3 linked regions of the Drosophila melanogaster genome follow. The protein of the gene in region 1 interacts with the protein of each later gene in a pairwise test. Each region holds a gene or a part of one and is shown in the gene's direction. Other genes may lie near its edges.

Evidence for each region.
Region 2: the proteins of eIF4E1 (region 1) and me31B interact in binary tests that used the Drosophila melanogaster proteins (3 or more experiments, as listed by UniProt).
Region 3: the proteins of eIF4E1 (region 1) and eIF4G2 interact in a two-hybrid assay, tested with the Drosophila melanogaster proteins (one study listed by BioGRID).

What each region holds. Positions count from the first base shown.
Region 1 is NT_037436.4:9,397,334-9,405,328, reverse strand, and holds eIF4E1 (eukaryotic translation initiation factor 4E1), read left to right. Parts: upstream 1-2,868; 5' UTR 2,869-3,025; coding exon of another isoform or gene 3,026-3,049; exon of another isoform or gene 3,050-3,412; intron 3,413-3,523; exon of another isoform or gene 3,524-3,672; intron 3,673-3,722; 5' UTR 3,723-4,232; coding exon 4,233-4,289; intron 4,290-4,375; coding exon 4,376-4,746; intron 4,747-4,810; coding exon 4,811-4,910; intron 4,911-5,144; coding exon 5,145-5,232; intron 5,233-5,295; coding exon 5,296-5,459; 3' UTR 5,460-5,711; downstream 5,712-7,995. Other genes in the region: Cpr67B (cuticular protein 67B), read right to left, coding at 1-39, 408-440; CG4080 (uncharacterized protein), read left to right, coding at 6,743-6,822. UniProt on the Drosophila melanogaster protein: Recognizes and binds the 7-methylguanosine (m7G)-containing mRNA cap during an early step in the initiation of protein synthesis and facilitates ribosome binding by inducing the unwinding of the mRNAs secondary structures.
Region 2 is NT_033779.5:10,236,590-10,244,671, forward strand, and holds me31B (maternal expression at 31B), read left to right. Parts: upstream 1-2,751; 5' UTR 2,752-2,946; coding exon 2,947-2,996; intron 2,997-3,349; exon of another isoform or gene 3,350-3,495; intron 3,496-3,902; coding exon 3,903-4,002; intron 4,003-4,090; coding exon 4,091-4,469; intron 4,470-4,543; coding exon 4,544-5,191; intron 5,192-5,256; coding exon 5,257-5,459; 3' UTR 5,460-5,583; downstream 5,584-8,082. Other genes in the region: mthl15 (methuselah-like 15), read right to left, coding at 338-1,256; chico, read right to left, coding at 6,048-7,569, 7,630-7,798, 7,868-7,956, 8,012-8,082. UniProt on the Drosophila melanogaster protein: ATP-dependent RNA helicase which is a core component of a variety of ribonucleoprotein complexes (RNPs) that play critical roles in translational repression and mRNA decapping during embryogenesis, oogenesis, neurogenesis and neurotransmission.
Region 3 is NT_033777.3:23,814,239-23,821,905, reverse strand, and holds the start of eIF4G2 (eukaryotic translation initiation factor 4G2), read left to right. Parts: upstream 1-2,668; 5' UTR 2,669-2,925; intron 2,926-3,086; exon of another isoform or gene 3,087-3,294; 5' UTR 3,295-3,679; intron 3,680-4,875; 5' UTR 4,876-4,894; coding exon 4,895-6,665; intron 6,666-6,799; coding exon 6,800-6,937; intron 6,938-6,990; coding exon 6,991-7,667. Other genes in the region: CG34355 (uncharacterized protein), read right to left, coding at 160-376.

The sequences.
Region 1 (7,995 bases):
GTTGATCTTGAAGATGTTCTCACCGCTGGCTAGTGTGGCCTGAAATGAATTAAGCGTAAAAATAATTAGCAAAATATTAAGACAAACCATTAAAGTGTGACTTGGGTGGTTAGCAGACTTTATGGCCAATTTAACACGCTACACAATTCTCGAGAGATCACAAAAAGAAGGGGTATGATGTCATATCACCATCATCATCATCAGTGATTAAAGTCTCATCTCACATGTAACGCGATGTTTGCTTAATTTTTGCACATTGTATAACTTTCGTATTTGCACTTTACGATCCGGACACATTTGACATTTATAGAGTCACCACAACCCGGACTTTAATTGAATGGATCGGATGGATCTATTCAGAGATGCTCGTAAATATCAGCTTAATTATGCAAATTATCTGCATTTACCAGCAACAGGGCAGCCAAGATGTAGCACTTCATAGTGGATTCGATTTGAAATATGAGTTATATGTGTGGTTTATCCAGGTATCACAACGTGTATTCGCTATTCTCCAGTTGGCGGGCTACTAATAACTGAGTAACCAAAAGGCACTGCTTATATACTAACTTTTTAGATCTACTTGGTATTGTTGTTTTTTGTTTTGCGTTTTGCATAAATCTGAATGAAGATGTGCTGGCTGGCCGACTGTTTCACTGACCAGCAGCAGTCTGAGCTTCACCTGTCCGGTTTCTTACTCAGCTTTAGAATCTCGATTCGCAAAGCCAGTGGCGGCAATTTGAAGTTCATTATCGGCGTCGCTCAAATTCGCACTTCTCACACTCGACTACGGATATATGAATATTTTCGGAGTGATGCGGAGACACCTATGGAAACATTATTAATTGTATGTATGCCGTTTGGTCAATTAGTTATCTAATAGCTTTGTGGTCTACCCATCTATTGTTGACTGCCACAGAACCCTTTTCGAAACGATTCAAGTGGCATTTTCAGCGCTCGTTGGCTGTCAGTTTCGAGTATCTTAAAGATACTTTTTTGACCAATCGGAATTCATTGGTTCAGTAAGCATATTCGGCGACTGGGTGTCTGAAATCTGGTTTCGATCATCTTATCTTGATGGTATAACTAGCATTTAGATACCCATTTTTCTTCATAATTCTTAATTTTATTTGTTGCATAATTTATGAAAATAGTACGAAAAAGTACAATTTTTTATACAGGTTCTGTATAAGTTACAAGGTACCCATTAGTCGAAACCTTATTTATCGAACTTTATAACCTAACCACTTGACTATGATTTATTTACAATTAAGCATCTTTGAGCGCTTCAATTACTTTTTACTTCCAATTAATGCAAAGTATACTGCCTAAGGTTTAACTTTGACTCCGGGTTTCCTGTAGATCGGCGGAAGTTTTTTTGTTTAGACATGCGCCAAGCACTTGAAGTCCGCAATTGACTGCTGCATAATTAGATGCGATGCGATTGGAATAGAGGATGCGATGGGTAATCACATCAACACTTGGACAGGCGATCAAGTGTCAGTTCAATAAGACCGGCTCAAGTGTAATTAGAGACCACGGATCTTGGGTTTCGGGAAGGGATCTTGGGTTTTCGGATCATCGATCCAACGATCGTGCCGAGCTCTTGAAAGCCGCTTATTAGGCATTTACAAGGGCAACTGCGCAGTTGATCGGTTACAAAATGACTTAACTATTTAAATAATAAACACGCTTCACGTTTCTCAGGCTAAGTTCGTAAGCATCTTCAATTTTCGGATTGCGTCTCAACTGCAACAGTCTATTTTGAAAGTCAAGCGTTTCTAAAAGCGCCACATCATCAGCGGTAATATTATCCATCCCTCATAAATATTCCCATGTTGTTTTGGGATCTTTTGGCTATTTTTAAAGCAGACAAAGGCGAGCCAATAATGTGTGGAAAGAATTTTGGTTGGATTCAAATACGAAGCAGCTTTGGTAACAACTAAGGTTCTGGGTTAGTCATGATTCACCAACAGGTTAGACTTAGTTTTGTGGCAAAATTTAACCAATGACGTCCAAGTTCTAACTAAAGTAATATCGTTACTTTGTTATTTTATTTTTGGATATTCTCGAAAGTTTCTGGAATTCTCAAGAAAACTTAAACAATATAGAGTCGCATTATATGGAAAACTCATTGATTCATTCTTATGTTTGTTATTTTGTTATTAAATTCCAATTGATGATGCCAGTGTCTAAATAAAAACGAAGACCTAATTTTCAACCAAAAATCAGGTTTTCTGGGCTTGTCCGTATTAAACATTTTTGATAATTATTTATAATATATTGTTATTTTTTGCTGGCTTCAAAACATCAACAAATTGTGTATGATAAATGACGATGACGTTGTTGTTGATGGCGATCGCGCTGTGGGAATCAGATGAAATGTCAATTAAGTTTGCATTTATATCTTTGATTGAAGCTCTAAGATTTGCTTTGCCATTTTATGCGGAAGTTAAGCTCGGTCAGTTCTTGAAAAAGTTCCCATGGGAGCAAGTTATTTGTTTTTTGACAATAAGAAGCGTTTATTTAAAATGGCTTATTATGGCCTCAATGATTCCTAATAGGCGTAACTTACTGGTTATAAACTTGTTTAATATCGTTTCATTTTAAACCTGGATGACAGAAAATGAATTTCGGTTCAAATACAAATATTACAATAGAAAGTATGATATTTAGCTCCGATAAACATTTAACAATTTTAGTATTTTAATGGTGAAATGGTAAATTCCGCGCATGAAAAGAGATAGAAGAGATGACATATATGGAAACCTTAAAAACGTAACGGTTGCTTGGGTTTTATAACAATCAGTCAGTGACAGGCATTTCCAGAGTTGCCCTGTTCAACAATCGATAGCTGCCTTCGGTCGCTCGTCACTAACTTTCCTTTAGGCAACGGCCACACTGTCTGGCCACCAAAATCCCAAACTTAATTAAAGAATTAAATAATTCGAATAATAATTAAGCCCAGTAACCTACGCAGCTTGAGTGCGTAACCGATATCTAGTATACATTTCGATACATCGAAATCATGGTAGTGTTGGAGACGGAGAAGGTAAGGCGAGAAACGGCGAGCCGCATGGTTTCGATTTCGGCTGAGCCGTGGCAGGAACAACAAAAACAGGGTTGTTGCACAAGAGGGGAGGCGATAGTCGAGCGGAAAAGTGTGCAGTTGGCGTGGCTACATCATCATTGTGTTCACCGATTATTTTTTGCACAATTGCTTAATATTAATTGTACTTGCACGCTATTGTCTACGTCATAGCTATCGCTATCTCTGTCTGTCTCTATCAAGCTATCTCTCTTTCGCGGTCACTCGTTCTCTTTTTCTCTCCTTTCGCATTTGCATACGCATACCACACGTTTTCAGTGTTCTCGCTCTCTCTCTCTTGTCAAGACATCGCGCGCGTGTGTGTGGGTGTGTTCTTCTTTAGCTACATATACATAAATAGGAGAGCGGAGAGACAAATATGGAAAGAATGGAAAAAGAGTGAATTACTGCAATTAACCAGTCGCGAACAGTTAAATCATATTTTTGTCGGCCATTGCAGTAAATAAACCGTTGGCTTTCCCTCTTCACTTTCCACCTCCTTTCTTTGACGTTAATTTTTTTCAGTTAATCGCGCCGCTGCTTTGAACTCGAACACGAATTTTAGCCGCAACATAAAATAAAATCAAGTAACTCTTTTAACTCAAATATAAAACAACAATTCCAATTCTTTCAACAGGCAATCTGTGTTTTTATGTCAGATACGTGCGCGTGTGTGTGTGTGCTGTAATTCCATCGCCCCTTTCGATTCCGAGTTCGTTAGGAACAGCATTAGTTCGCCTATTTTAGTAGTAGCCTAGTCCGATTTTAAGTGAAACAGGATACTCCAACACCATATACTCAATAATTAGTTACAACACCCACTCAACCATACAGCAACAACAAGTTTAACGAGTTTTTTGTATTATCATTACTTAGTTTTTTGGTTAATAATACACAAGTGAAGAGCGAACTGCAGGGGAGCGAGATATCACGAAACAATCCAAAATCCACACACACTCAAACAGAAATCAAAAGCTTCGCTCTCTCGCACACACACGCACCAACCAACTATCAACTATCACAAACACCGCGACAGAGAGAGAGCGGCAAGTGAATCACGGCGAATCGAAACCGATCCGAACCCACTCCGGAGCCGAAAAAGAACTGATCCTACCATCAAACGCATCCAATAAACACGGCCGCCAACATGCAGAGCGACTTTCACAGAATGAAGAACTTTGCCAATCCCAAGTCCATGTTCAAAGTAATACTCTCAGTGCGCCTGTCGCTAAGCCAAGCTAATCTAATCTTCTGATTCCCCTTCCCATCCATTGCCATCTTCTCCCGCAGACCAGCGCCCCCAGCACCGAGCAGGGTCGTCCGGAACCACCAACTTCGGCTGCAGCGCCCGCCGAGGCTAAGGATGTCAAGCCCAAGGAGGACCCACAGGAGACTGGTGAACCAGCAGGCAACACTGCAACCACTACTGCTCCTGCCGGCGACGATGCTGTGCGCACCGAGCATTTATACAAACACCCGCTCATGAATGTCTGGACGCTGTGGTACCTTGAAAACGATCGGTCCAAGTCCTGGGAGGACATGCAAAACGAGATCACCAGCTTCGATACCGTCGAGGACTTCTGGAGCCTATACAACCACATCAAGCCCCCATCAGAGATCAAGCTGGGTAGTGACTACTCGCTATTCAAGAAGAACATTCGGTGGGTTTGCTGTTTATTGCAATTCTGCCAAGATAACCTTTACTAACTGATATCTCATTTGCAGTCCCATGTGGGAGGATGCAGCCAACAAACAGGGCGGTCGTTGGGTCATTACCCTTAACAAAAGCTCCAAGACCGATCTGGATAACCTATGGCTCGATGTGGTAAGTGCACAAAGAAACGAGTGGTGAGCGGATGGTCTATTTATAGTGAATGTACATTCTTGAAATGCAAAAATATAGAAATAGGTGTATGATTTTGCAATATAAATTATAACTTATAGAAAATATCAGCTAAAAATACGCTAGTGCTAGCTTTTGTCTTAGGAACATTCAATAGTGAGCTTATATCATAAATATTTTTCGCATATGAGTAACTACAACTGTTTTGCCTTCCAGCTGCTCTGCCTGATTGGTGAGGCCTTCGATCACTCTGATCAGATCTGCGGCGCTGTTATAAACATTCGCGGCAAGAGCAACAAGATATGTAAGTTTTCACGCACACCCAACTTCAGCGGAATTCCTTTGTTTAACGATTAATGCTTTCCAGCCATCTGGACTGCCGACGGAAACAACGAGGAAGCTGCCCTTGAGATTGGTCACAAGCTGCGCGATGCCCTGCGTCTGGGACGCAACAACTCGCTGCAGTATCAGTTGCACAAGGACACGATGGTCAAGCAGGGCTCCAACGTGAAATCGATCTACACTTTGTAGGCGGCTAATAACTGGCCGCTCCTTATTCGGTCCGATCCCACACTGATTATTTTGTCTTTCATTTATTTATCGTTATAAGCAACAGTAGCGATTAATCGTGACTATTGTCTAAGACCCGCGTAACGAAACCGAAACGGAACCCCCTTTGTTATCAAAAATCGGCATAATATAAAATCTATCCGCTTTTTGTAGTCACTGTCAATAATGGATTAGACGGAAAAGTATATTAATAAAAACCTACATTAAAACCGGATACTTTTGATCTTTGATTTTGGAGATATTTTAAAATAGAAAAAAGTTAACCTATATTGTTTTTGGGATAATTACTTGTTGTATTACTAAAACGAGCTTGTATCCTAATATGGGCACCTAAAGCAAAACTTCCAAATTTGGAATTCAATTTGTTGCTAAAAATACGTTAGCAATTTCTAGGGTGGCCAAAAAAAAATGTGTATCGATATATCGATAGGTTTCCTAAATAGACATTAAAATAATTTTAGCTTTTTACTTATATTGTTAGAGTAAATACGTTTGTATTTAAAAAATAAGTCAGTATTTTTTTTTTATTAACCTATTATTGAATTTTATATGAGTGAGAGCTTTTCCATTCAGCCAAGAACGGTCACACTGCATGTGACATGTTTCAATTGTGTAGGCGCAGTCACACTGGTCGCGTCGCTCGTAGATATCGTGTAAGGATATGTCTCCGTGTTTAGCTAAATAAAATACATAAAATATATGTGCAATTCTAACAAGCATAGCCATTTAGCGTAGAGTAGTGGAACGAACAGCTCGTACCGGGCCAGTAACAACAAATTAACAAGCAAACGCACTAAAGTTTGTCGCGGAATAAAGATATAATAATAGACCAGCTAACCAACACAAACAAACACACACACGGCCAGAAGTTCGTTGGCGTTGAAAGGGAAAAATGAAACGAAATGAAAGGAGAATAACAGTGCAATAGATTCGGTTTACATTGTGCAAAAAATCGAAGTAGCCCCTGCCAACAGGGTCGCTAAAAATAAAGAAGGCGACAGCCTCTGTTTATCGTTGGGAATAAACAAATATATGGCCAGCGGAGGAGAATCATAACAAAGGCGCAAGACTAGCCAGCATAAAAGACAAAGGAGCTCTCCTCCCCCGCGTCCGCCACCCCCCTCCCTTTTTGGGGTTGAAAACCCCCCACGCGTTGCGGTGCAGCATCGCCCCGACTATGCGATACCCTGCAATCGAGTTTATAGTGCTATAGAGAGAGAGAGAGAGAGCGAGTTACGAACAAAATGCCTTGCGACAACGCCAAAACCTCTTCGGATATCGAGCATGTGGATTGGAATTCCGGCCAGCACTATGCGAATGTCAGGTGAGTTTTGAATGCCCTTGATATGGCCAAAAAAAAAGGAATCCTATAAGTTATTCAAGTACACCAAAGAACAAAAAAAAAAGTAAAATAAAGAAAAACGAGAAATAAAATAAAATCAAGTGCAAGCACGCAATTGAAAAATCGTGGGATGGTTGACATTCTTCTTGGCATTGTCCATTGTTTATTTATAGCCAGGAAACGGACATGATTTAAATGTTTGATTGTTCGTCGTTTGGGAAATCACAATAATTAAGTTCTCAACGCAGGCTGCAAGTGCTAAAAATCAATGTGTGTTCTTTGCGCCACAATAAACAAATCCAGCTGTCCATACCGACACGCAGATAAGATATACCTTAATCGAAATGAAAACGAAAATAACCCAATTTCAAGCAGCGATTGATTCATTCCCTTAATTTGTTGCTCTGCACCAACATCAACTGTTGAGATCTCAATCGTCGTAATCCCCATCTAACGCCTGCTAATGACAATCATTAGGCAATAGTTAACAACATTGACTTGTACTTACTTACTTACCATACTAGTTCCATGCCGATCGGCAACTTCGATTGAAATGCAAATATGGACACTACGATGCTGGGAAGGTGACAAGATCTTGACGCGAGGCGCCAGCTGTTATCTGTTTATACAATTATAGGTTTATAAATTACGCGCGATTTATTTATATTGCAATCTGACGTGACAGCGGGGCATTGACCATACCCAATACTCTTACGACTTTTAATGAAGCCAATGAGGTCTAAAATGAAGATAAATCATAAATATAATTATATATCAGTCATTGAAGACGTTCTCCATAACTAAAGCAGTTTAATGGTACTGGCTTTTCGATTCACTTAATTCGTATTGTTTGGTATTAGTATTTGTGGCTACCAACTTTTATTTGCCTCATAGATGTTGTATCTTTATCTTTAGTTATTCATCAAATTTTCAATGGAACGCTCTTAAATAAACATATTTACTCAATTGTATTTGAATGTTGAGAAATGCGGCTCTTGCGTAGCTATAATTTATATATGTATGCTCGTATTTTGTGAAATACAGACCGTTCAACACCCCCGATGTCAGTGTGATGAGCCTTATCACCTGGCCATCGCAAATCTAATCTGTCGCCGGAGTGAGTAAATGTGTCTCACTTTGCTGTTATTTCAGGTG
Region 2 (8,082 bases), on another chromosome or scaffold:
GTCAATGAAAAGGCAAATGTGTCATTCACTTGTTGATTAACCAGATAAGAAAATTTGACAAAAATAATTAAAATGACAAAGCTAATGAAAAATGTCAATACTAATGAATGACGTAGATAACTTCAATAGCGAAATTTGCTTGGCACTTGAAACCAATTGTTTATACCACTTATTTGATCAGACAAATGGAAAACATCAAAATCGATTGCTTCCAATTCTTAATAATATTTTTGATCATTAAGTTTACGACTTTAATGGGCGATTACTGCGTTCAATTGCCGCTCGTTTCCTGCTATAAAGACCTATAAAAATAACTGCAAAACTGGTGACGACATACCTGAGGGCTTTGAGAAGTTTGCGTTGATATTTAGGTTCTGAAAACCCTCAAATTTGAAATCGGTTCCATCGATCTTGCAATAGGTACTGAAATTTCCTTTTGCATACATTTCACCTTCGGCACAACAACGACGAATACAGGGTATTTTTTGGCAAATTTTCATTTCCTGACAAGCACGCACCAGAAACTTCTGTTCCGGTAATGCACCTCTATCCAAATCCGCATCGTCGGAGTCGTGAATAGCTTCGATGCAAAACTTGGAGCTGGGCAAACTGTTGGTTCCATCTTTCCAAATCAACGAATTATTATGAAAGTGCACTTTTCCGGAGGACAACGTATATTCCACGAGTGCTCTGTGGTCGGAACAGTTTAGGGTGTTATCAAAAAATATAATTGGACTGCTGATGATGGAAGTATAAACAAAGAAATCGCTTTCGCCCGGTTTGCATGTATTATTTTCGGAAACGTAAATAAATCCCTGTGGGCAGCACTTGTTTACAAATCCAACACTTTGAGACGGCACATTCTTTTCGAATTCACAAGATAAAACGATGAGACGTCTGTTTAATAGTCCAATGCATGAGTTATTTCGCAAATTCAAGGTGCGTTCACCTAAATCACTTATACTCAGACTGCTAAAGTTCTGGCACTTTGATAGTGCGAATTGGCTGTGGCCTGAGTCATTGATAGCCTTTTCTAATCCAAGGCCCATTGGTGGTATCAATTTGCCTATCACTTGGGCAAGATCCGGAAGTTCACTGATGTTGCTTGCGGCGGAAGCGCACTGGTATATTTCCGCATTGTCCACAGTGCGGCGATATTTGAATAGTAACGAATTCGCGGCACAGCATAACTGAACGGCGAGCACTTTTGAAATGCCACTTAAAATCAGGCACACTAAACTTAGTCCGATGTTCATTGTTTACGGCTCGTCTATTATACCCAATGACCGATTTGCGAGCTTGTGTAATGTTTGTATCTTTTCTTAGAACGGACTTTTCATATCTTATCATTGAGGAATCGTTATCGGACCATATACACTTCGAACCGCATGCAGTTGCCGGATTTAACGAACTGAACTGAAGTCTTCGCGATTCCTTCGCGAGCAAATGCGAATGTTTATGGGTAAACATTTGGCCCGCACACAGACGGACATAGCTCGACGTATATAGGCAATACATTTATGGATTCTCGTAAGCCTATACAAATAAGTTATGCCCCATGGAGTGCCTAACACTTAGCATGCTGGGGGTGCTCACGGATGGTATCAATACACCCAAATGGCCGCATATTTATGTAGGTACTTTGTGGTTCTAACACATATCTATCTATCTACACAATTCAATTGATGACTTTGTACACTAGCTTCTGACGGCAAGACAAATGCGACTGCTCGTGTTAACATTGTGCAAAGCTCATTAAGGGGAAATTGATAAGGTACACAGATACACACATCCATACACACTTATGTACAGAGGTGGGTGAGGTAAGCAATGGATCCTTTAATCGTCTAAGTACTCTACGCACCATAAATCACCTGGAAAATGTCAACGATACGCAAGTATTTATCTTTTCAATTAACTTAAGTCTAGTTATTAGCTGACTTTTTTCCATATATTCTTTCATGACACAAACTAAAATCGCAAACATAAATGTCATTTTTATAATATACAAATCTCCTCTATCGCAAGTACTATTTATTTATTCTAATACAAATATATTAATTTTGTCATTCTCCAATCGGAATAAGTATAAATAAAGTATAAATCCATTGGTTAAGAAAAGAAAAATCAAAAAAATAATTTTTATTCATTTTAATGTTATTAGTTAGTTTCTAATGTGATCTTTCATTAAATATTTAATACTTATAAATTATAAATGAAAAGATATTCATAAAAATCGCAGACAATCAAATTAAAGCTTAACTCAGATGTTCTTCTTTCATACACGTTCGAAATCTTCCTGTCGTTCCTAAGTCCCGTTCACACAGGCAGCTGCTTCATCTGAAATGCAGTTCATATATTGTTTTTGTTATAATTAAACGGTGATTTTAACCCGGCCGGAGTGGAGTTGCTCATTGGAAATGCTTTTCTAAATTAATTTAAATTTAAAATAACGGCAACAGCAGCTAACACAACAAAAATGTGAAATATTTGGGTATACATATACACCTACAGGATTTATAAGAGGAAAATTTAAATGCCGATTTTTTTTAAATAAAATAATTCTTGCCTAAATATGTGGACTAATTTTAAAACGTTCATTTGTTTTTGTTAAGCCATGTATAAATTTCTACAATATTATTGTTCGTCATTTTGAACTTGCAAAATTTGTTTCATTCCAACGTTCCAAATCAGGGCAATACATATTTATTATCTACACCGAGTGAAAATATTTTCCGAGTCATCAGAAATTTGTATTATTGATAGCATGTTGTAAGGCGACTCGACTATTTTGAAGCTAAGTGAAATTTTATATTGAAACGCAAAGTTGAATACGTGAGCAGTATATGAAAATCGGTGAATACAGTGACTTCATTAGTCAGCCGAAAGCAAAAGAGAGCGAAATACATTTTTTAAACAAACTAAACTAAAATTTCACTGTGAATAATGATGACTGAAAAGTTAAATTCTGGGCACACTAATTTAACAAGCAAGGGGTTTGTATATTTTATATTTATTTATATTTTTTTTTTCACAAGAGGACCCAAGCTTGGTGTCCCAACAAACATAATATGCATGCGTATTCATCAGCCCATATTTATGATTAGATGCCGAAAAGACAAGCCGTTTTATAGTTTAGAACGTCAATTTTTGCAAATGATTGAGCATGTAAAAGCCGAAGATCTGTATTTTAGCAACATCATGTAGTTAGGCTGTTTTCACTCAACAACTAAACCTGCAGAACATGTTATCTAATGAAAAAAACCAAACAATGTGATTCCCGTATTTATATTACTTTATTGTATGTAGTAGCGGAACATGTGTACATATGTATAAAAGAGTTATCTACATATGTAGTTGCACTCGTGGACTTATTTACCGCTAAAAATGTTGCTAAATATAATTGCACTGACTTAAATCATTTAGAAACTAACACTGTATTTAGGTAAAACTTCTATTGGGTGATTCTCAACTTTTGAGATCAGAACAAAACAGGTATTTTTTTTTTGCATTTCAGCGCCATGAACAGTTATTCGTGGGCTGCCATTTTAAAATTTGGAGTAGCGTTTCTTTTTCTCTCCTCCATAAATGTGCGAAAGAGAAAAAATGTTGAGTTCAATCGCTTTTAGATTGTTCAGTTCTTAAATATTCAAGACATTATCCATCTTTGTTTACGATTTAAAATCAATATTAACATTATTATTAATATACATTAATACATGGCTTAGACTTTAGCTTAAAATGCACTTTACATAAAAGAACTCATTTACAAAATTTTAAAAATCAAAAATTTTTAATATATATATATGCTTATATATGCCATCCATATATATATGGATGTGAATGACCTACATATATCGTAATACTTTAATTACCATTTTATTTTTTTTCTTTTCATCCAGGATTATAAATGATCTTCAAATTGCTGGAAACACAAGTGACGATATGGGCTGGAAATCAAAGCTGAAGCTGCCGCCAAAGGACAACCGATTCAAAACAACTGTGAGTTTGCCGACAAATCAATCGGAATTTATACAATTTAAAGCACAAACAAACTAACAAATAAATGTATTGCCATTGCCTTACTCAGGATGTGACCGATACGCGAGGCAATGAATTCGAGGAGTTTTGCCTTAAAAGAGAACTGCTTATGGGTATATTCGAGAAGGGATGGGAGCGCCCTTCGCCAATTCAGGAAGCAGCTATTCCTATAGCATTAAGTGGAAAAGATGTGCTGGCTCGGGCCAAGAACGGCACAGGCAAGACAGGAGCCTACTGCATCCCAGTTTTAGAACAAATCGACCCAACCAAGGACTACATTCAGGCACTTGTGATGGTCCCCACCCGAGAGTTGGCGCTACAAACCTCACAGATATGTATTGAGCTGGCGAAACATCTTGATATCCGGGTAATGGTCACAACGGGAGGTACCATTCTAAAGGATGACATTCTTCGTATTTATCAAAAAGGTGGGTTTTGATGATAGTTAAATAACCTAATATCGGTTTAATTGCAACTTTCTAAATTTTCCCTACGCCTGCAGTACAATTAATTATTGCCACTCCCGGACGAATATTAGATCTGATGGATAAGAAAGTTGCCGATATGTCGCATTGCAGAATATTAGTTTTGGATGAGGCCGATAAGCTATTGTCGCTTGATTTTCAAGGCATGCTGGATCATGTTATACTAAAGTTACCAAAGGATCCACAGATCTTGCTATTTTCCGCAACATTTCCACTAACAGTCAAGAATTTCATGGAGAAGCATTTACGCGAGCCTTACGAGATCAACCTGATGGAGGAGCTAACACTGAAGGGTGTCACTCAGTACTATGCATTCGTACAGGAGCGCCAGAAAGTACACTGCTTGAATACGCTCTTTTCGAAGCTGCAGATCAATCAGTCTATCATATTCTGCAATTCCACGCAACGTGTCGAGCTATTGGCCAAAAAGATCACAGAGCTTGGATATTGCTGTTACTATATACACGCTAAGATGGCCCAGGCACACAGAAATCGAGTATTCCACGATTTCCGCCAAGGACTCTGTCGCAATCTGGTGTGCTCCGACCTGTTCACCCGTGGTATCGACGTGCAGGCCGTGAATGTAGTAATCAATTTCGATTTCCCACGAATGGCAGAGACATACTTGCATCGAATTGGTCGCTCAGGACGTTTCGGTCATTTGGGTGAGTTTAATTGCATTCTCATATTATAGTTTAGCCTATTTACAATCTTCGTTTCTCATTTTAAGGTATTGCTATTAATCTGATAACCTACGAGGATCGGTTTGATCTGCATCGGATTGAAAAAGAACTTGGAACCGAAATAAAGCCTATTCCGAAGGTCATAGACCCCGCCCTTTATGTCGCAAACGTTGGCGCATCCGTTGGCGATACTTGCAACAACAGTGATCTGAATAATTCTGCGAACGAGGAGGGCAACGTTAGCAAATAAAACGGATATGCCCTGTGTAACGCTAGTATCTGAAATAGAGTCTAAATCGTGGAATCAATAAAAACAGATGAACTATTTCAGAAATCAAAATTGTATTAAATAAATGGAAAGCAATTCAATTTTTAAATGCGCTCTTAAGATAACTGAAATGACTGGTCTATAAAAAAAAGGCTCGTTCACTTTGTGGGTTTTGGTGCTGAGAAGTATTAACATTAACTATTGGGGATTTGGTAAGGAAAGTTAGTCGAATGCTATTAAAAGGCAGGCTAAGGTCGTTTAATATCAATCCAGTTTTTAGTAAAGGGTTTAAATCAAATAAAAGGTCTAAAAGTAATTACAGGATTTTCGGACAAGAGAAGTACACTTGGATCAAGCTAAATCCTAGATTTACTTACATGGAAGAATTACCATTGGCAATTACCCGATTTACTAGATTCCAAAAAAAAAGTACAAAGGGATCATTATAATTTAAATAAAATTTATTTATTAGCATCCAAAATTGTAAGCTTTGCTTGTCAGAATATTTACAATAAATGTACAATATTAAACAAATCATATATATAGGATAGGGTCATAAATTTCAAAACTTTACGTATTAAATATGTTCGATGAGGAGGAAGAGGAGTCGGATTGGTCAAAGTCGATTTTCGCATAGGTATTCCCATCCTCCGGGCATGCGGACACCGGCGGCGATTCGCGTGATCCTCTCTTCAGGTATTTAGCTGGATTTTGGCCACTGCAATGGGGAAGATCTAGGCTGGCGTAGTGCAGCTCCGGCTGGGATATGCGAGACGACGACCTTGAGGGGAAATTCAAATCTTTAATCTGTAGAATGTTCTGTGGTGTACTTGGATCTGTGCCAGTGCTACGCGAATCGGCGGCGGCGGCTGGCTTTGCTGAATTTATATTGAATTTGGTGAGTGAGCTGCTGCTCACCGCGGTGGCGGTGGCATTATCGGGAATCGTATTCACACTCTCTGTAAGTCTCTGCGAACGCTCCAAGTTATCCTTGTGTATACCCTTTTGGTATAGCTTCGATGAGATGAGTGAGCTGTCGCTTTTAATTTGCAGAATTTTGTAGCCGGCTTCGTTAAATTTTGTGAAATCATTCGATTTGTCCTTGATTTGTGTGTAGTCTTCGCTGCTTATCGAATGAACCAACTTCTTTTCCTCATGCCCGCCTATATCCAAATTGTTGTTCTCGACAATCTTGTCGGCCAGATGATTATTTAGCTTATCGCTGCTCTGCGCGCACACTTTCTCGCAATCAATTTGATTTGCTGAATGAACATCATGGCTTTTGCTTGTACTCTCGACATTTGTGGGTTTCGAGCTAAAGGTGTTGTCATTCAATGGCGAGTTCGACTTCTTTTCCTCGCTTCTGCTGGGCTGTTCTCTCCATTTCTCAGCGGATATATTGTATGTGCTAATTTTGTTTAAATCGTGCACTGGTGCGGCTGTTGCGGTGAGTGGCGGTGCTGTCTGATAGTCGGATAGCTTGAGTTTCTCCACTTTCATTGGCAGGCAATTCGAACTGGGAGTGTATCCATTACCGACTGGCTTCATCTCGAGGTAACCATCCTCGGATGTGATCGCAGTGTTATTTAGTTTGGTGCCATTGAAAATGTCCTTTTGACTTGTGGCGTGCAGAGTTAGGCTGGAGCTATCCGTTCGCGGGGCTTTTGGGAACACGTTTTCAATGTATTTCGGAATTTCATTATTCTTGATGAACTTCTGCTTTTCCAAATTGGTTGCTTGTGAAAAATCAATTTCCATTAAGTCACTCATTCGGTCGGAGTTTATCTGGTTCTTCAGACTGAGGAGTGGAGCACTTGTGGACTTCTTTTGTCGATTGGCACTGCTGCCATAGCTGGTTCCTTCCTTGGTAATGCTACTCTGACTCCTATTCGCTGTGAACTCATGTTTATTGTCCTCCACGAGGACCACTCGCTGCAGGTCGCAGCGCGGTATCTTCGATTTGGAGCCAACCGAGTAGGCTCGCACGCGATTCGGATTCTGTCCCGTATCATTCAAGTGTCCCAGGCGCTTATTAAACTTTAAATGCTCAACCTTGTTGCCTATCGAATAGGCGCGAATGGGACGACAGCATCTGTAACAAGATGTGATTGATTGCATTACGTGGCACAGTTGAAGCGAAATGTGTACTCACTGGTTATCAGAGTCCAGATCAAAATCCTTAGCAAGCTTTTCCGACGCGTGCTCCGGAAAGTTGAAATGCAGCGAAGCATCTTCCAATCTCTGCATATCAGCCTTCTCCTTTTCATGGATAGCATCGGTAGGATTGACTGGATTCATCGGTATGTAGTTTTCGTCACTTACTGCAGTTAAACAAAGCCAATTGATTAGCTACTTTTCATGTTAAAAAATTGTTTTTGTGTTTGGCTTACCATTTTGTTCGGTGACTTTGCTAAATAATTCCGCACTGGCAAAGTCATCAATGTTTTCCTCAGGAATTGCCGTCTCCGATGACCGCGTGCTAGAAATTGAAATGGTGATTATTATTAAATAATTATTATTTGATTGCAACGCACTTTAATCTGTAGTGGCTAAAACTGCCGTTGTCGTCGGATTCATCGACACTAATTGATGACTCTTCGGATTC
Region 3 (7,667 bases), on another chromosome or scaffold:
CTGCTATTATTATGCGTCTTCTTTCCGATTCTGCAGTATTAATTGGTGACCTTTCCGCTCCTAATATGTGACCCCTCGCTGTCCGTTGGCACCCACACAGAGACACTTCGAAGGACACCCACGGGACACACGAATGGAGGATGGGTGCCACTCACTTACCTTGACAGACGTGGCATTGCAGGAGCACTGCAACAGCAGCAACAATAGCGAGCTGCGACCATGTGATGATGATGGGTAATCCGTGGGCAATCGGCGTGCTCGTCCTTGTCGATGGTTTTATTGTTGCTACTGCTGCTGATGGGGCTTCCGCTTGTCCCTGACGACGCGTTTTCCACGAGGTGGTTTCCCTGACCAACCTGCTCGCTTTCCTCCACATTTTCGGCTGGGCGATTGAAACAAAAGGCGGAATCAAAGCAAAAGTAATTTCGTTGGCTCCCAAATTTTTCCACTCGTATCGAACTTTTGGATGCCTCGACGGTTACCAGAATCCTGCGCTTGCGTGCGTGGGTGAGAATGCCCGGGGTTTTGGTTTTTCGGGCACAGGTGCTTCCAGGCCGGGGGTGGGGCTTAGGTGGGAGTTCGGAATTCCGCGCTTCGACCTTGTTTCAGATTAGGTTTTCTTAATTTTGGTGGGTTTCCTTTAAGCCAGCCAAAGAGCTTGGCGGCAAAGTGTAGTAATCCGTAGTCCTTGGCGAAGTCCTTGTTTCGAGGTCTCAAAGTGCTCTATATACACACATTGCTTCGCTATATATATACATTTATCTGTATGTACTGTCGGTTGGTTATTAATTTTCTGTTTACTTTTTGTATGTTTTAACTTGTAACTTATAGTTGCATAACATTTGCTTTTTGCATTTGCAAACAATGCAATTTACGAATACCGCACTTATGAATTTCTTTTAGAAATTTCTCTAATTATTGCACAATTTTCACATTAACATTTATGGTAGTCGAGCTTATACGCGATTTACTTTGAGTAAATCTTGTGTTTGGTTTTATTTTAATTGATTGTGTTAAATAAACGGTAAAAAAGAAACGAAAAAGTTTTATTTTGGGCTATGCCCATTCTCGTTTTAACGGGTTTTCAGTTCGCGCACTATTTTTATTCGTTTCTACATGGATGCCAAAATTATATGAGTAATATAAGAGTTGATTTCGTAACCGGCTCAGGTGCAGTAGTCGCAGTCGGTTGCAATTTCAGTTTGGTGCATTCTCTTCTTGTTGTGCAGAATTTTTCAGCGCCAAAGTGGAGGAAAGTGATGCGGGAAAAAAGCGTTACGCGCGTCAGGGCGAATCAAGCTTCGGACTTAGTGTGACCGCAGCGGGAGTAAAGGAATTCGCTTTTGGTGTGGCTGCACTCGCGTCCCCGAAAGATACCATGCGGTGCTGAAAGAAATACCAAATTAAATCATTATGGGTTCAAAATATACCAAAAAGCAGAGGCTTTTTTTTTAAGGGGGATTCAATTAATAAGTATACTTTTAAATAAATTAATAAGATGTAAGACGATATTATCTTTGAAAAATGTATAAAATTTAAATAAAACTTTAAAAATCGTATCTTTTTGATCCAAATTTCGGAAAGTGTTGCAATTTCATTTTCGAATTGTATTGTCAAAACCTGCCGCTCAGGTAGCGCACTCAGCGACCGTTATATTCAAAATGTTTGTGCTGAGAGCAAAATTATTGAAAAAAAGTAAGAGCCTCGTCCATTTACTCATCTGTTGTCCTCACACTATCTTTAGTGCAACCGCAAAGGCCACAAAAACATGACAGTACGCACAGGAAAACAAGCATTGCAAATGACTTCACAACTGAAATGGAAAAAAAAAAATGCAAAATACGGACAGTCCGTATGCGGTTTCGTTGTGCCAAGTTAAAATATTTGCATTTGCGGTCTAGTCTTTTTGCATTTTCAACCACCAAATAATCCCTTCAGACTCTGTTTGTGGGCTCTATGTGTATATAATTTTTTTAGGCTGCAATAAGGCTCCGAGTTCATTCTTGCACTCGTTTTACTTTAAAGTTTTGGCCATAGTGTATACTGAGATAAGGAGTAATAAGTAGAGAAGGGTATAGCATTGGAAAAACGGATACTAGAGGGAGGTGAGGGCGCAGAGTAAAGGATTATGTGGGAAGTGGAGGGCGTTGCGCATCCGGCAAAACAGAAAGAGCAAAACTTTTACTACAAGCGCGTAAACACTGCAATTTCTGCACGAGGGGTAGTCTAAGAGCATTAAGGGGAGGCAATCCGGAAGTTGCGAATGGAATGGAAACAGGATTCTGCGCATATGCTGTCCTACGAATGCGTAAATTATGAATATATCATTCAAATTAAAATGTAAAGTTAGAATAAACAATAATAACAGCGAAATATGTGTGGAATTTATATGATATTCTGCGTCATGCACCACAATGCGCATTATATAATAATTGTTATTATAACACCTGCATAAGGCCTATTTTTCTATTTCGAAAGAATGATTATTCTTATGATGAAGAACGTTCAAAATATTACGCGCCAAGCTTGAATCCAAGTTCTCCACCCCGGTTTGAGGACGCACTAAAATGTATAATATTCCTGCGGGATATTTCTGGAACTTTCACAATCGATATTCGCTGCGTAGACATCGATGCTGCCGCCATCGAGTTATGTTCCATCCCTACGTGCAACGGTCACTCTTATTTCATCAAACGAAACGGACGTGTTTCTGCAGACTATTTACATTACAAAATTGTTTGTAACAGATAGTGAGCCGTGTATACATAACGAGGTGAAGCAGACGATGCACTAATGTAAAGGCGCAGTGCCAGAGCAACTTTTTGGCGTGTTCCCCGCGTGGAACTGCATTTTTTTTTGTTTCCTTCCTCAGTTTTGTGTGTGGAGTGCGAGCGAGAGAGCGTGCTAGCGAGCAGGAGCAGAACGGTAAGTACTGGCGGCCAGACAGAGACAGAGAGAGCGCAAAAAAAGAGCGAACGGCAAAAAGTCAAAACGGTAAAAAAACATAAACCAACGCCTCGCCTTTTCGGGGAAAAGTATTACCTGAAAATCTGAAAAAGGTTAAAAACCTACAAAAAGTCCCCTTGCCATTAGTGTCAAATTACGAATTGGCACTTGGCTGCCCATTTCTCATTCTCAATCCGGGGCTGAGGCTGCTCAGCTGGACAAGGAGAGGGAATAAATTCGTAGCAGGCGCTGCTTTGGTGTTCATATTCATCATATTGTAATTTTGATTCCTCGCAATTGCAAAATTTAAGCATACGTTTTAACTTCCTCTAACGCCTTTAATTACAGAACAAATTACCGTGAAATTTTAGCACTAGCCGTACGTTATTTTGTATATTTGTACGCATGTACGTGTACGTGCCCCTCGTCCGTCTGCACAAATGCAGATGTGCATGTGCATCACAGTGAATTGGAGTATTTTTATACATGGAATATCTGAGCTATTGTAGTATTCCGGATAGAGCCAACAACCACAAAGACGAGGAGTTTCCACGAGAAATAGGAAAAAGGAACGGAGGAGCAAATAAGCAGCAGCAGGAGGAGGCGTAGAGCTTGACCAGGTGTCAAGGGAAGCCGGATAGGCTTAAAGGCAGGTCTACCTTAGGAACTAAGAAATAGGATAAATCGAATACCCTTATAATCATCACATCTACCAATCGAAGCACAGGAAGCGGTAAGTTTCGAAATCTGACTTACAACTTACTCCCATTCTAGTATTTGCTTGCTTTTTCACGCAATTTACATTAATTGTTTGTTTATTAGTTTAATAACACACTACTACTACTATAACACACTGCCTCCAGTACGAATGCACTCCCAATAAGCGATCGCGATCCCATTTAGAGCAGCACCCACACACTCCAACTGGTTTTGTTTACAAACAAACATGAAACAAGTGAGCCTATCTGCCAGCCAGGTTTTCGTTTTCCTCGCCATGGAGTGAAAAGAGCCATGCACGTACTTCGTCTGCTGGAAAACTGGTTTTCTTCTGGCTTGAAGGTGCTTGGCCGCAAACTGCAGCGGAGTTGGTTTTTCTAGGCCAGCAGAGAGCTCCAAAGAGAACACCACAGTGAATATTGGCCAATGTTTGTCTTCATATTCTTATCAATCAGCATTGAACGCTTGCTTAGCAAAACAACAATGAAATTCCGTTTGGTAGTATTATAACTAAAAGAAATCATATCGTAAACAGTTTTAAGTGATCTAGTTCTTGCGGTCTCCACTGTGCCGATGGAAGTGCTGACGGAATGCCAAACTGGTTGTAGCCATAAAGACGACAGCAGCCCATAGCTCACCTCCTACGCTCGCTGGCAGCTGCTTCTTTGTGGCTGCCTTTGTTTTGTTCCGCTTTAAGGCCAGTACTGACTAATAGCGCCACTTGTTACCGTGTGTCACCTATGTACAAGTATTTAGGCTGCGCAAGTGACTAGTCCATTGATAAAACCGGCGCGATAAGGTGTCGAGCCATCTTCGAAAGCATTTTGGATGTATACACGCCCCGCGAGTGACATCATACACCACATTCCAATTAAAGAGCTCAATTGATTGAAATATTAAAGAATAAAGAAAAGGGTAAAAGAGGGAGTGCATTTGTAAAATAGCCCTTAGTCATAAGATGTAAACACATAATTTGCATGATCATTTTTGGTTGCTTTTGCACACGTTTGATTTAACTCTCATTCGCATGTACTCACGGCTTTGACTGAAAACCTAATACGCCAAGCATTTTCCACATCGCCAACTCCATTTTCACTTTCATTTCCATCTTACTAACATTACGATTTGTACATCTGTTTTGCTCTGGCCGCGGTTTTCCTAACTCTCCGTGTGTGCCTGTGCGTGTGACGGTGCGATTGTATGCGTGTGCAGATCCTTCGAAGGTCCTCCTATGTTCCCTCAACAGGGAGGGGGTGGGAAGGGAACCAGGCCACAGTCGACACATCAGCAGAACCACAACCATCAAGCCCAGCATCACCAGGCGACGCACTCGCACCACCATCACCTCCAGCAACAGCAGGAGCAGCAGCAGTCCCACGCAGTGTTCGTCCCGAACCACAGCGGCCTGCACCACCACCAGCAGCAGCACTTACTGCAACAGCAGCAGCAGCAACACCAACAACAAGCAGCCGTCGCCGCCGCTCATCTTCAGCAACACATCCAACAGCAACAACAGCAGCAGGTGCAAGCCCAGGCCCAGGCGCACCACCAGCCGGTCATCTTCTACAATACCCAGCCGTCCTACGCCGCGCATTCCGCGGCGGTTAACAACAGTGCCAACGGCGGCGGCGCTACCCTCCAACTGAGCGCCGCCGCCAGTTCCAACACGTTGGGACATCCTCTTACTGGTGGTCACCATGGTGGAGCAAATGGCGTGGCGCCGGGGTCAAACATGCCTCGTGCCCTGAGCAACCCAACTCTACCACCCCACTTTCAACAATCAGCTGGCCTGATCGCACCTGCCGGCGGAAATGCGGGTGGACCCTACATTTCCGCCACCTATATACCAATTAATCAGACCGGACCTCTGATGGGCATGCAGCCAGCTGTGACCTTTCCCACTAACGGAGCGGCTGGAGCTTCATTCTATGCGGCTGCGCCACCTCCTCCACAACAGAAACAGCTTCCTCCCACTGCTCAACAACAAGGTCCAGGCGGGGCACCGGGAGCTGCTCAAACGCCGACACTAGCTTACTACCAACTTGGGCCGAACGCTCAAAACTCTGCTGGAAACAACGTGGTTAGTGGTGCCAATACACATCGCGGCAATATGCGCGGAGGGCAAAGATCTACTCCCACCGCCCAACATACCAACTACTTTACCGCATATACCATGGCCCCAGGAAATGCCCAACGTCCCGCTCCGACAAATGTGGCTCCAATGATGAACTCGCGCAGCGGTGCACTGAACGGAGCTGCTGCTTTTCATCATCTGCCGCACAACTTTGGCATTCCCAGTTTGGCATTGGGACCGCCCGCCGGGATGACGACCCCTATTTTGGCTCCGGCTGGAATGCAGGCGCCGCCACCCCAACCACCAGGCGGGCTGCACACATTTGCTCCGCACTTGCAGAGCAACAGCGCCACCACCTTACCTAGTGTCCCAAGTGTGACTGGAGTTCCCGCGGTGGCCAGTGGTTTTTCAACCACCTCGCTTCCAACTCCGTCAGTAACAACAGCACCGCAACTGGGGGCCAACAGCGATAAGGTATGCAAGCGCAAATACGCCATTCCCATCATCCATCCTGACACCATGGAGAATGTGATGGATGGATGGAAAAGATCGGTTTTTATAAAAAAGGACTCAAACTCGACACTAACACAGCACACAGATCTGGACACAGCTCTGGATGACAATAGTACCTTGTGCCTGTACCAGGCGCCCACTCTGATGGACTCTGGCTCGGGGTCATCGTTATTGTCTGGCGCAATGGTAGATCAGCAGATGCAGACTGTGAAGCCGGCGAGTTCCCTTAAGCAGTCCGTTTCCTTGGAAAAGGTGCCAGAAGCGGTGTACTGCAAAGACGCTGTCGGTCAGGACGTACACCCATCGCCTCCACCCAAATCAACGGATAAAGATCAGATCAGCGTAATTGTAAAAGACATACTAGCCCACTCGGGCAACGCAGAAGACCATCTAAGCTTCTGGCAATATAGTGACGGTGAGTTCATAAAAACGTCCAAATTTTCTTTAGAATTGTATTTGTAAACGAAGGGAAGCATCTCAATATCGTTGAAATGTTGAATTGAAGTTAGCCGGGCTTCAAGTGTCAAAGTCTAATGATTCCTCTTGCAGTGGACAATGTCACGGAGACCCACAATAGCCTGCCGCTAGTACAGTCGGACTTGCCCGATACAACCGATACGTGCCAGCAGCCAGTGCTTTTCCAAGAGCAAGCCAAAAAGCAACGTCCCAAATTGGCCAACAAACAAAGTATGTTCCGTGACAATTAATCCATTAACGTCGACTAAATTGTTTGCTCACAGGTACAGCTACGCCAGCATCCATAGCGAATGACGTAGCTGAGGCAGCAGCCAGCGGTTGCCCAGGCGTCTCCATCCTGTCCAGAGGCCAGTCGATGGTAACACCAGCTGGCCCCTCGACACCCCCGCCACCTTCGCGTGTCGCCCAGCAGAAGTCGACCAAGTCGATAGTTACCACAGCTGTAGCTGCGTCGGTTAAGCCAACAACGGGTTCACCCAACAGGAAGTCGAGTATTCAAGCCGCCACCTCGACTACGACCAGTTCGGGTGCCTCTTCGTCGACAGCCTCAACACCGACCCACGCATCTAGTAAGCTTAAACAGCAGCCTGTTAACAATCTGCAGCATGGAAAGCAGATTCCAGGAAAAGTATCAACTCCAGCATTACCACCGACTGCTTCACGAATCTCGGCCGCTGTTACCCTGCTTGCCGGCACCGCGAACATAACAACCACTACCAACTCGTCCAAGAAACAACGGCAGGCCCAAAAACGGGCCAGGGAGCTGGAGAAGAAAAAACAGAAATCCTCGATAACAAGCACTACAAGCACTCAAGGGCAGAACAACAATGGCAAGGGCAATGGTAATGGCAACGCCGCGCTAGAAATTAACACAAATAGCAACAATGCTGCCACAGTGACCACAACATCAATGAGCACACTGACCACAACAACCACGGCA